Oryzias latipes: one gene and its partners. The protein of the gene in region 1 purifies or fractionates together with the protein of each later gene. This does not show direct contact. Links are inferred from orthologs where the notes say so. Each region holds a gene or a part of one and is shown on either strand. Other genes may lie near its edges.

What was found.
Region 2: the proteins of mtf2 (region 1) and ezh1 purify together in Homo sapiens (affinity purification with mass spectrometry; 3 studies listed by BioGRID and IntAct, with this or other methods). This does not show direct contact. The link is inferred for Oryzias latipes from reciprocal best matches to the Homo sapiens genes MTF2 and EZH1.
Region 3: the proteins of mtf2 (region 1) and jarid2 purify together in Homo sapiens (affinity purification with mass spectrometry; 3 studies listed by BioGRID and IntAct, with this or other methods). This does not show direct contact. The link is inferred for Oryzias latipes from reciprocal best matches to the Homo sapiens genes MTF2 and JARID2.

The regions. Positions count from the first base shown.
Region 1 is NC_019875.2:5,984,684-5,988,332, reverse strand, and holds part of mtf2 (metal-response element-binding transcription factor 2), read right to left. Parts: intron 588-3,649; coding exon 477-587; intron 347-476; coding exon 246-346; intron 175-245; coding exon 5-174; intron 1-4. UniProt on the Homo sapiens protein: Polycomb group (PcG) protein that specifically binds histone H3 trimethylated at 'Lys-36' (H3K36me3) and recruits the PRC2 complex, thus enhancing PRC2 H3K27me3 methylation activity.
Region 2 is NC_019866.2:6,666,117-6,670,310, forward strand, and holds the start of ezh1 (histone-lysine N-methyltransferase EZH1), read left to right. Parts: upstream 1-1,259; 5' UTR 1,260-1,594; intron 1,595-2,380; 5' UTR 2,381-2,396; coding exon 2,397-2,564; coding exon of another isoform or gene 2,565-2,570; intron 2,571-2,677; coding exon 2,678-2,803; intron 2,804-2,887; coding exon 2,888-3,010; intron 3,011-4,013; coding exon 4,014-4,131; intron 4,132-4,194.
Region 3 is NC_019869.2:23,831,776-23,836,183, reverse strand, and holds the start of jarid2 (protein Jumonji), read left to right. Parts: upstream 1-1,473; 5' UTR 1,474-2,004; coding exon 2,005-2,049; intron 2,050-4,408.

The DNA of each region.
Region 1 (3,649 bases):
TCACTCTCCCGGATCGCCGCAGTAGCAGTAACACTGCTGGAGGTTAGTCTTGTGGCCCTGGTCCCACACCAGCTTGTCCAGGGCGTAGGGGAAGGAGAGCTGCAGCTCCGTGTGCTGCTGTGCTTCGGCGTCGTGCTTCGTGGCCGACGCCCTCCTCTTGAGTGAACTCCTCTTCTGCAAACAGACGGACATCTTTAAATGCGTCCTATAAAGAGGAAAGGCTGCATCCATTCAGAAGACCAAACCTTCGATAGAGATGCATGTTCACAGTCCGAGCAGAGCCACTCGTCATCAGAGTCGATGACTGCAGCGTCGATGACGGGGTCGTGACACAGCTGGTGGTATCCTGAGAGACAGGCAGCGTCTTTACGTTTCTGACACGTCACTAAAGCCCCGCCCATCCATCATGAGGATCCTGGAGCTGCTTTCAGCTTCTGAACAGTAAACTGGCTCCTTCACAGAGTTTCTCAACTGACCTTGTCCACAATTGTCACAAATGACAATCTCATTGGGTTCCTCGGACACTTCCTCCTGACATATAGAGCACACAATGTCCTCGTCCTCCTCGTCTTCATCATCTTCATCTCCTGAAAAAAGACGAACGCAATCAAGGCCAACAACTGACCACAAGGGGCGAGACAGCTACCAATCTTCCTTTTATCTGATGGATGTGGAAATGAGCCAACAGCAGCAGATCTTCAGCCCAGCTGTGGCCGGTGGATCTTTCCTGCACACACTCCTAAGGTAAGAACGGCCACATCACAACGTTCCACATGTGTCAGCAACACCGCCTCACGTGTCGAGCTCACAGAGTGAAACCGTGTCTGTGCACGCATCGCTCCAGGAGAAGTCACGTGACCGATACACCACTGAGTCGCTGCGTCACAGCGGCTGTGGTTGGTGGACACAGGAAACGCGTCGACCAGCAGTGTTGCCAGATTCTGTGGTTTTCTACCCAATTGGGTGGGTTTGATTTTGATACTGTAGAGTAATTTTGCTTTAAGCGGGTTTTAGCTAGTTTTATAATGAGTCTAAGCCAGTGTTTTTCAACCAGTGTGCCGCAGCACATTAGTGTGCCGTGGGAAATAATCCTCATTAACTGATCTAAAAACATTTTCCATCTCCAGGATATCAGCTCTGTGTTCATCCAAACAGGCCCTGATAAAACACTGAGTAGTTAGGAATATGAAAGATCATAAAATACTTTTTTCTGTTTATTTGATTATATTAAAAACATTTTGATAAGAATGACGGTACCGCGATTTAGCCGTAGCTTCACCTCTGTTTTTGGAAAATCCCCCCCCCTTTAACTGTCTCTGCCAATCATTCTTGGACCCCTAATCATACGTCATCAGTCTGACCAATCAGAAGTGGTTCATGTCTTCACTTCCTTGTTCAGATTCTGCTCAAAGTCTCTCAGTTCCACCAAAAATACCAGCTAAAGCTCGGTAAATACTAATAAAACTTCAACATGTTCACTTTTTGTGTAGCTACAGAAAACAAATGTCAGTCTTTTGGTGTAAATTTGATCAAACATGTCGTGATCATATAATTTTTCAAAAATTACAGTTAATAAACTGGAGGGTAAAACAACTACCAGGGTAAAATGTCAAATAATTCAGATGAAAATTATTACGTAAAACTAACTTAACTTTTATTGCATCGTTTAGAAAAAACAGCTGCAACTTTCAGATTTTTCTGCCACAATTATCACAAAAATGCACGTGAGATCTTGGAGGGACTCTAGATCAATACAGACTATAGAGTTTCTCCTTATTTAATTTTTGGATGATGTTGTGCCGCGGGATTTTTGTCAAGGATAAAGTGAACCTTGGCTCAAAAAAGGTTGAAAAACACTGGTTTAAGCCATCTTTTATTTTGAAAAATGACCGGATCTTCTCGGTTACATTTCTGTCACTCGGGTGTTAAACCAATCCAGCGGTGAGTTTAACAGAGTAGGAAAAAAAATCCATTTTTGATGCCTCAGATAGCGCAGCTTCCAGCCATTTTCCCCGCCCACCTGTGTTTGGTGTTTTATTTTACTGAGTCTTTACTTGTTGAATGTGGTGTTTCAGTTGAGTTTGTGGATTTATTTAATAATAGTGTTTTTGGTTTATATTTTTTTTTCCTGTTCCTCTATTTTTCCGCTTGATCTAGCAGAACACTTCCATTTTACCCTCTTATTTTTGATGAATCCTTCAATGTTTCGGAGGTTAAGTGTCACATTTGTTCAGCAGGACTGTCAAACTTAAAAGCCCCTCCTTATTGCTGGGGCATTATAGAGCGAGACATGGCAAAGAGGACGCCACAATGACAAATTTTGGTTTAGACTAGGTCAGTGTTTTTTAACCTTTTTTGAGTCAAGGTTCACTTTATCCTTGACAAAAATCCCGCGGCACAACATCATCCAAAAATTAAATAAGGAGAAACTCTATAGTCTGTATTGATGTACAGTCCCTCCAAGATCTCCACTGGATTTTCTGTAATCATTGAGGCAGAAAAAGCTGGATGTTGCAGCTGTTTTTCCTAAATATTAAGAAAGTTGTGAGTTTTCAATAATAATTTTCAACTACATTGGTTGAAAATGTGTCCAGGTAGTTGTTTTTCCTTCCAGTTTATTAACAAGCAATTTTATGTAACCTCACAAAAACCAAATGAGAACAATATTTCTAAACAGTGATTTATTTATTTATTAAATGTTATGATCACAACATGCCTGTTGTCGGTTTTCCAATTTAGTCTTAATCCTGTTAATTTTGTTATTTTTTGTATTTAAGATCAACTCTTCAGATTTTTCAAAAGTGAAGCTGAATTTCTCCTGGATTACAGATATTAGAAAACTGTTTCAGTTAGAAACATGACGAGGACCAAACACCAGAATGTCTGGCTGTGAATGATAAACACTAATCACACAGGAGAACCAAACTGTTTACGTCTGATTTCATCAAGAAGATTTGAAAACTGTTAAAACAGACTCGTGTGTGCATTCGTTGGGTTTCATGACAGTTAATAGAGCCGGGTCATCGTAGAGACGCTGTCACTGTAACCCAGTGCTTCTTAATTATGTTTTACAAGGCCCCCCCCTTAGGAAAAAGAAACTGCCCCCCCCCCCCCCCCCCACACACACACACACACACATACTCGCCATGGCTACAATATATAAGTTAGTATAAAAACAAATGTGCAAGTATACCTAAAATTGTATCTTTTAACATTAACAAAAGAAAAAAAAAATCAATATAAATCCACCTTTAACAAATACTAACTTTATTTAGACACAGAAACCCTGTTATAGTCTAAAACAGAAAAGAAGCTTAAAGTGCCTAAAATAAAAAAATCTGTCAGTCATTATTAAACTAGAAACATTTTGACCAACTGAACCATTTGATGCTGAGAAAAATAATTCAATCAATAAATAATATTAAATATAGATTTCAAATCAGAAAACAGTAGATATAGAAGACTGAATAAACACAAATGTATTATTGATTTATTTACTTATTGATTTTTATTTTATTTGGGTATTTTATTTTACTTGAATGAGAGTTTTGTAAGTAATTTATGTACAGAAAACAGATAATAGAGTATAGTTAATAGTATATGTTCCATACAAATTTACTGACTCTCAGACACTCACACATTGCGCACA
Region 2 (4,194 bases), on another chromosome or scaffold:
CACCAAGTTTTTGCTCCAGATACTAGAAATGTCTTGTTCCAAATCTGAAGAAACCAGTTGCAATAGAAAGTTCAAAAATCAACAACATCACAAGTTTTAAAAACTGATAATGTCTTCACTTCCTAAATTCAGTTTGTTGTCTTTTGACAGTTCATTATCAGCATGTTGCTAGCAACGGCCTACACTGCTTCTAAATTGCCAAGCGTGCTTTGTTGACTGAAATATGACCACTTTCACAAACCAAAAGCATAAATAATACCCCAAGCGGGTGTGGTGTAACAGTTCAGAGCAGAGAAAAGAAACACAATGTGTTATGTGATGTTAAAAATTGTTGTCTTAATGCATGAGGAGTTAGAAAAGTAAAATTATTCCATGACTGGCAGCAGAAGAGTGCCATCTTGTGTCTCATAGAAGTATTGTCTCAAAATTCGGACGTTTATGAACTTTTATCTCCCAAAATGAAGAAAATAAAATAAATGCACAGAGATTATTTATAATTTATAAAAACCTCCACAGAAGTGATAAAATCCTGGAACAAGATATGATGATGTGTTTTTGGTTGAAATTCTGATTTTTAATGTATGTAAGGTTGAATAAACGATGTGCATTAGTTTGGCTTCAAACATTAAAACCTTTACATGCTATGACAGGAGTCTTTTGTTGAAAATCAAATCATAAACATTTACAAATGAAATAGATCCAAGCACTGCAACAAAACGTTAGACCTGTTATTATTTTTGACTGTTGGAAATGTGATTTAATTAAACTATACCACGCCATTTTACTCGTAGAGTATATAAGGTATTTGAGACAATTTTAGAAAAAGAAAAATAAACAGGTCATTAAATATAATAAGATTGGGCTCCCCCTGCCGGAGAAATGTAAAACAGCAGCTAAATATTTAGACAGGTCCAAAGGAATGTTAGAAAACTGGAGGCTGGTTACCAATTAAGTCTTACCTGAAACTCTCACTTACAGATATTTGTATTCTGAAATGAAAGAAAGACTATTTATATTTGGTTAAAACAGTTTTTGCATTTTTTTTTTTTTGTTTTTTGATCGATTGTTATTTCTATTATAGCCACACAGCCCTATAAATTACACTTTGACCTTTTTTAATTGCTTAATTGTAGATACTGAAATAGATGCTGTATTTCCATTTTAGTTTTTCTATTTTTCACCTTGGTCAAAGAAGAGGGGTCATTCATTCAGATGGTACTTCAAGCAGTTGCATCAGTTCCTGTGCGTGTGCGTAATGGCTGTGCCGTTGCTGCTCCACGCTACTTTTTATTCCTAGGGCGCAGAATAGACATAAATCCCAGCTCCGCTTGGAAGCGCTCTGGTCGCAGTAAAGACGTCACCCTCGTGCTCGGGTTGGTTCAACCAAAGTGCGCAGCTATTTGTACGCTCCAACAACAACCTCCAGCACCATGCGTTTGGATAACGTGCTGCTTTCACGGAGATCCTCTCGCCTTCTGGACTCGATATTTTCGTCTAATCCATAGCACAAACGATTTTTTTTCCTTCTTTTTTTTTTTCTTCCCAACGCCGGGATTTGATCGCGTTGCACCAAAATCGGACGTGGATTTTAAAGGTGTGTGACTGCGACACTGGACGTGGGGATCTGGACGCACACACGCGCGTGTGCAGGAAAACCTTCATTGTAGAGGAGTCAGTGCGCAAGTCTTAAAAGTGTTCTGGGTTTAAATGGACACGGTAGTGCGCCACGGTGCTGTGGCTGCACCCTCAGGACGAAGCCCCGCTGCGTATCTGTGGTGGAAACGTGTTTACGCGTGAAAATCAGACCCACGGCGACAATTTCTGAGCTCCATTTTCATATGCTATTCATCTGTCACTGTGTTCAGCTTGTATCTTTGGGGAAAATGTTTGCAGGCGGTTATGAAACACTAAAAAACAGCGCTACGCACTTTTCTGCTCCGCCGAGGCACGCCCACTCTTTAGAAATGTGGGCTAAAAAACCACGGACTTCGTGCTTGCACGCATGCCTGGACTGTTGGCTTTTTTCCGCGTGTTTCACTATTATTATTTTACCCCAAGTATGGCTATAATCATGGGGTAACCTTGAGATTTTAAAGCACCCTTCAAAAGGGCTTTTTACCAGTAGATGGCAATTTTGTTTTGCGAACAGAGGGGGGCGCTGTTTTGCAAAAACCTGCAGCAGTGGCTTATGGGAAAGTGCAAGTGTTCTGTTTTTTTTAAAACCGCCTTCAGGCTTTGAAGATGGAGGAATATTTATAAAAATGAGCTAAAATGGAAAAATACATAAAAATATTTTTTATAAGAAGCTGGTAACAGTTTGCTTTAACACATTCTTTATGGCAGAATTGTGAGTTGACCTTTGACTCATTTGTTTTGCCAGAGTTTGTCCTGCAGTCATGGAGGAAACAGCACATCCTGCCCCTGGTACCAGTGTTGCCCCATCTCAGCCAAGGCCTCCGCCCTGCACTTTTGCCCCGTCCCGCAGCCTGCTGGAGTGGAGGCGGAGGGTCAAGTCAGAGTATATGCGCCTGCGCCAATTAAAACGCCTTAAAAAAGCAGACGAGGTCAAGGTAGATTTAGAGTTGTGTCAGCATCTTCCATTTGAATACTAATAAAGTACTTTGTCCCTGTTTCTCATTCACTCAAACCTGTGTTTGGATTTCTACTGTTTTTATAGACCCTGTTCTCATCCAACCGGGAGAAGATTGAGCAGCAGACTACTGTCCTTAACTCAGAGTGGTCCACGCTTAAGATTCAGTCCATCCCGCTGTCTGTGTCTAATGTAGCACTGGCTAATAAGAAGGTGATGATGTTTAGAAACTGCCCATATATGAGGAATATTGCTCTAGGTTCTCCAAAATGACTGTTTTTCTGGGTTTTCTTTCAGATGTGTTCGGTGGAGTTTGGTTTCCCAGGATTCAAAGCTCAAGCCATCGCCATGAGGCCACTGTCAACAGTGGCAGGGATCCCATTCATGTACTCCTGGTCTCCCCTGCAGCACAATTTCATGGTATGTGAGTGGTGCAATAACTGGGGAGCAGTTTCAGTCATTTTAACTTACCTTGATAACAATGACTCTCTGATTGGGGTCAAATAAGGATCAGCTTAAACACCCACTCCAACAAAAATTGTCTTTTGGGTGCTTTTAACACGTTCATGTGGCATTTTTCTGAGGGCCACCGCTAGGGATTTTGTGCCCCATGAAAATCATTTTTTACAGGGCCTCTAACACAGTGGCAAATATTTTTTGATGCTGTTTCACATGCAATTATACATTATGAAGACATTTTTCACTATCATTGTCATCTTTGGGACAAAATAACATGACAACTGACATGTAAAGAATGGGAAGAACTGAGCAGTCTCAATACAATATTGAAAATTTAAGTTTCAAACTTGAATGAAAAGAAATATATAACTAAAAGCAACTGAAAAATAATATTTGTTTGTAACAGCTGCTTCATTAGAGGAGAGATGACACCGGCCGCGCCATCAACAGACGCTGTTTCGTAGTGGAAATTATGTTACCAGAATCTCTATCACCACATGTCAATCATGCTCCGGTAGCCAATGGGCTCAAAGCCCCACCCCCATGTCAAATAAGGCTTAATAAAAAGAATTGAGGACTGAAAGCAAAGACAGAGAGAAGCGAAAAAACAAAAGTTGAAAACACAAAACAGCATCTATTATAAACAAACATTTATCATTTGGTAACAGTTTTAGGTTCATAGTGTAGGTGCTTTTCTTTTATATTAAAAGTATAAATTTACTTTTTTTATTTTCAATATCTCCTTTAAGTTTTATATATATATATATATATAGAGAGAGAGAGAGAGAGGATTTACAATCCAATTTTTCATTAACTTTTAGCTGATCCAGATTTGATTGAAACTTTATTTTACCAGGAAATCCCTTGAGATAAAATTTCTTTTTTGAGAGAAACCTGTACAAGAGGCATTGGCACACACTCACACACAGCTCTGAGCCTTGCGTCCTTTTTTGTGTTTCTGAAGGTAGAGGATGAGACGTTCCTCCATAACATCCCTTACATGGGCGATGAGGTACTGGAACAGGACGAGGCTTTCCTGGAGGAGCTCATTGATAACTATGATGGTGTCCATGGTGACAGAGGTTTGTGTTCCGAAACTGCTGTTTTCGTAAAATCTTAAAACGCGAAAGAGGTTGTTGTCAGTT
Region 3 (4,408 bases), on another chromosome or scaffold:
TTGGCTGCTAATCCCACAACTGCATGTTCCTTACAATTGGGTTATCGTTTAGAAGAGAGACAAAGAGGCTTTTCAACAGTTTAACATTTAATTCCAAGCATTGCTGTAAAACATAACCCACCAAACACAATTGCTGGTACTTATGCATTAGCATTCCACCTCAAGAGGTTTTTCTACTTCTTATATTGCAGAGATTAAAAATAAAAACGGATTGAAATTGATTTGACCCGTTAGTATCCAGCGAATAGGGTTACCATTCCACCGCTACATTTGTTTGCCAGTTTCTGTTTTGACATTTTCAGTAAAATGTGAATTCGGAACTTCCTTACAATTTTGTGTCTGAATTCCTTCACTATTCAAGATCGAGTGGCCCAGAAACTTCCTAGAAGTATCTGTGAAAAACCAGTGTTCAAACGCAATGCATTGTGGTCTATATTTGCAATCCAGTGAGCATTAATCCACACTGGCAGAGACTTCTGGGAAGTTTGTAGGGCAATTGGTTTTGGAATTGTAGATTCGGACAGCACTACAAAATCTCGAACACAGTATATAGTGAGTATTGAAGAATTCGGACATAGCTCCATTTTTTTTTGGTGCTAAAAACGGCATTACCATAACAAAAGTCCACAGGCAGCGATCATGCAATAGACCAAAAGATGATCCGAGTGGAGCTTTAAGGTTCTGAAAGTCATGTAAATTTACGTAAGCTTGTATAGCACTTTTCTACCTTCCTCGATGGCCCAAAGCACTTTCCAGTCACAAACTCATTCACCCATTCACACACTGAACTCCATAGGCTCCAACCTTGCACCAGAGGCAAGGTAGGGTTCGGTGTCTTGCCCAAGGACACTACGACACATGGGCGGAAATTGTGTTTGGTGGGTTATGTTTTCCAGCAATGCTTGGAATTAAATGTTACACTGTTGAAAAGCCTCTTTGTCTCCCTTCTAAACGATAACCCAATTGTAAGGAACATGCAGTTGTGGGACACATGGGTGGGAATCAAACCTGCTATCCAAGGTCGACCACCCTACCACTGCACCATGGCCGCCCATGTAGCTACTGGTTGTTTGTATCCTTAAGCTTCCATTGGCTCTAGCCAGTCACAATTCAGAAGTAGTTCTCAGAATTGCTGGGGGCTGCATAATATTGATTTTGTGACAGAAGCCTGTGGGCCGGTGGCCGCACTTGGCCTATGGGTCGGACTTTGGACATGCTTGCTGTAGACAAAACACCCTTATGCAGAAATACCCACATTCCCTTACTTGCTGTGGTACATTTTTCAAACCAAAACACGAAATAGACTACATATAGAGATGGATTCTCCTTTTTCCATCCCATTTTTTAACAAACGCCCCACGGGGGAACGAAACAAGCGGCCAGCTCGCGAGGGCTGTCTCTCCGGGACTTTGAAGTTGCCGCTCCGCGCTCGTGCGCCTCCGTGATAGGCGGAGAGGCGGAGGCCGGGGAAGAAAGGAGCTGCTCTCAGTCAGCAGAGCAGTGCCGCTGGAGAGCTCTGTCGATGGTTGCGGGCTCCAGCCAGAAACACCGCGATTCCTAACGTTTTGTTTTTTTATTTTTCTCTTTTTATTTATTGCTTTCTCACGATGTCATACCGGGCAGGATGTGACTTGCTGACCTAACCTCGGCTATCTGCATGTTTTCGAGACGAGCGGGTGCGCAGAGTGGCCGAGCTGTTCGGGCGAATGGAAGTTATTGTTGTGCATTTGTTTTGACTATGTTACCCCCAAGTAAGTTTGGGTCCAGTCCGTCTCTGTCCGTCGTCGACTCTTGAATCGTGGGGATTTAGCTCCGACTTCTCCGAGGAGAGAACACCGCCGGAGGATTCCTGCAGCCTACGGCCAGCGAGCTTTTCCGACCGAGCCGGGGATTTAAATCGTCATTTGGCGGAGAGCTCCGGGAGAGGCGAGAGTCAAAAGAAAGAAGAAATTCATGTGGCCATTCTCTCTATAGCCAAACATTTTTTTTGGGTGGGATTGCATAATGAGCAAGGAAAGACCTAAGAGGAATATCATTCAAAAGAAATATGTAAGTAAACCCTCTTTTTTTCCTCCTAAATGCAGCTCCTGTATTCAAGTTCGCTCGGCTCGCCTCGATGAAAATGCACAAACTTTCATCGCGGGCTGTGAAGGTTACCGTCAGGCAGCTTTGTGGGGTTGTTTCCATTAAATGTGAGCTTTTGTCGGCGTGTCAGCGCGGATCTGGCCGTGAATTTAAAGGTGCAGCTCGTGTTTATTCTTCGATACCCCCCCACCCCCCCATGTTTTATGCTATCTGAACACGGGCTGCTTTTCGCTCGTTTCGACTCGGTTTTTTCACGCGCGACAGCGGGAGGCAACGCGTCTCCTGGGTCGTGTTTTGGGGGTCGTGGATGGAGAGCCGTGGTCAGACGGAGGGTCTCAGAAAACTGGGCTTTTGTTCGACCCCCTCGCTTCTTGCTACTCGAAGCAGCGCAGACGAGCCTGTCGGCCATAGCTCGGCTTCCATTTCGTCCCATGCTGAGCGTTTCATCTCGGCTTGTAACCGAGCTGCTGGAGGACTAGGTCGGCCAAATCAGAGGCGTTGTCGTATCTCTAAATGTGTATATAATTCACGTTTAGGGTGAAATAGGTGTCGTTTTTTGGTGGTGGTGGTGGGGGGGACTGACTGCATGCTGTGGCGGCTCTTTAATTTCCTCCATAAAGAGTGAGGCAGCGCAGAAGGGAAGGGGGGTTACGCGAATCCGCATTCTCACCCAATTTCTATCACGTTACACGACGAAGGTTACTTTCTTTTTGGGGTTTATATATGTTTTTAGCCTATTACCCTCTCGACCAGGTGACGGGCGACAGGCTGCCGGTATTTTAGCTGTGACCTCTGTGAAGGTGCCGCTCGGTGAGGGGGCAACTCCATTTTTTTCAGCACTAAGGCTAGCTTGCCAACCTTTTAGGTATCGACCTCAACGGCTGAATTCCTGCCGAACGGAACGCCGCTCGGTCGGCCTGTTTGAACGCGGTGCTCCTAAATGACCCAGTCTTCTCCCACTCCCCTCCTTTTTTTTTAAGAGTCTGTGTTCAGTCGCATTGCAGAGGCTTATGTATGTAGCGACCATTTTCTTTTTTGTCCGAGTATCGCTGAGTTTGATGGGAAGGGCTGCTCCATGCTCCTTTTTGGGGGTTCAAAAGTAGTTCGGCTAGTTTTAACCCGAGCCCACCGCATGACTCATACACGTATATATTATTATATATTTTTTGAAATTTCGGATCAGAGTCCGTGACTTTACACGAGAAGTTTATTGCACTTCTGATGTAATGATTGCTGACCCAAACGGACAACATGTATTGTTTAAAAAGCCCCATTAAGTCAGCAGAACTCAAAGACCCCCCCCCCCCCCCCCCCGCAGTGACCTCAACAAAACGACACGCGGAGTGGCTCATAAAGAAAATAGTTCCCCATGTGGGCGTTTAAAATCCACGAATAAAACCCCCCAAAACGAATTGAATTCTTATCCATAGATGCAAAAAAAAGATTTTTTTTCAGAGTATTTTAGTTTTATTGGTTCCTAATAGGAAGCTTGGTTGTATATTTTGTCTCAATTACCAGCAAGGACGACTCATGCAAATGCATCCTTATCTGCATTCCACTGATGATGATTTTACTTCTAACATGTTGGTGCCAGTTTACCTGCTTTTATTGATGGGAAACGGTCCATATCTGGGATTTTTGAAATGCCAGTGAAAGTAGCAGAGCAGTCATTTCTTTTAGTCATAGCACTGACTCAGCTGTGATCTTTTTCTGACCATGCAGTTTCATGTAGTGATGTTGCAACAAGAGGCCTCGCCTGCTCACATTTTTTCACCCAATCGGGCTGTTTTCTAGTAACTCTGGGCCGAGAAAGCAGGATGTTGTGGAAATAGTGACTCAATCAAATAAAAGTCCTGGTTTAGAATGGAGCCATGGACTTTCATGTTTTTTTTTTTTAGGAATAAACGTATAGCTTTTGGCGTCAAGTCCTAATTTGCCTAGTGTTGAGACTTAAAGTTGGCTAATTGTGCAGCTTAAGCACAGGAAACACATTTCAGTTCTGAATATATATGCATGTGTCACATCTGTCATGTGTTTTCAGCAGTTGCGGCTGATCCATTACGTCTGGTCCAGACCAAAATAAGCCTTTAAGAAAGTATTTTATTTTTATTTTTTACAACAACCCAGAGAAGTTCTGGTCCTCTTGTAAACCCTCCAGGCTTTGAGACATGACCCTTAGTGACCCCCTCCCCCTCCTTTACGGCCCCCTAATTAGCGTAAGACAATTAGACATGCTTGGCTCAACCATTTCCCCCCTGAAACATAAGTGTGAGTTGTTGCCCCCCATTCACCCCCACCTCCTGTACCCAACAAGCACGCATTG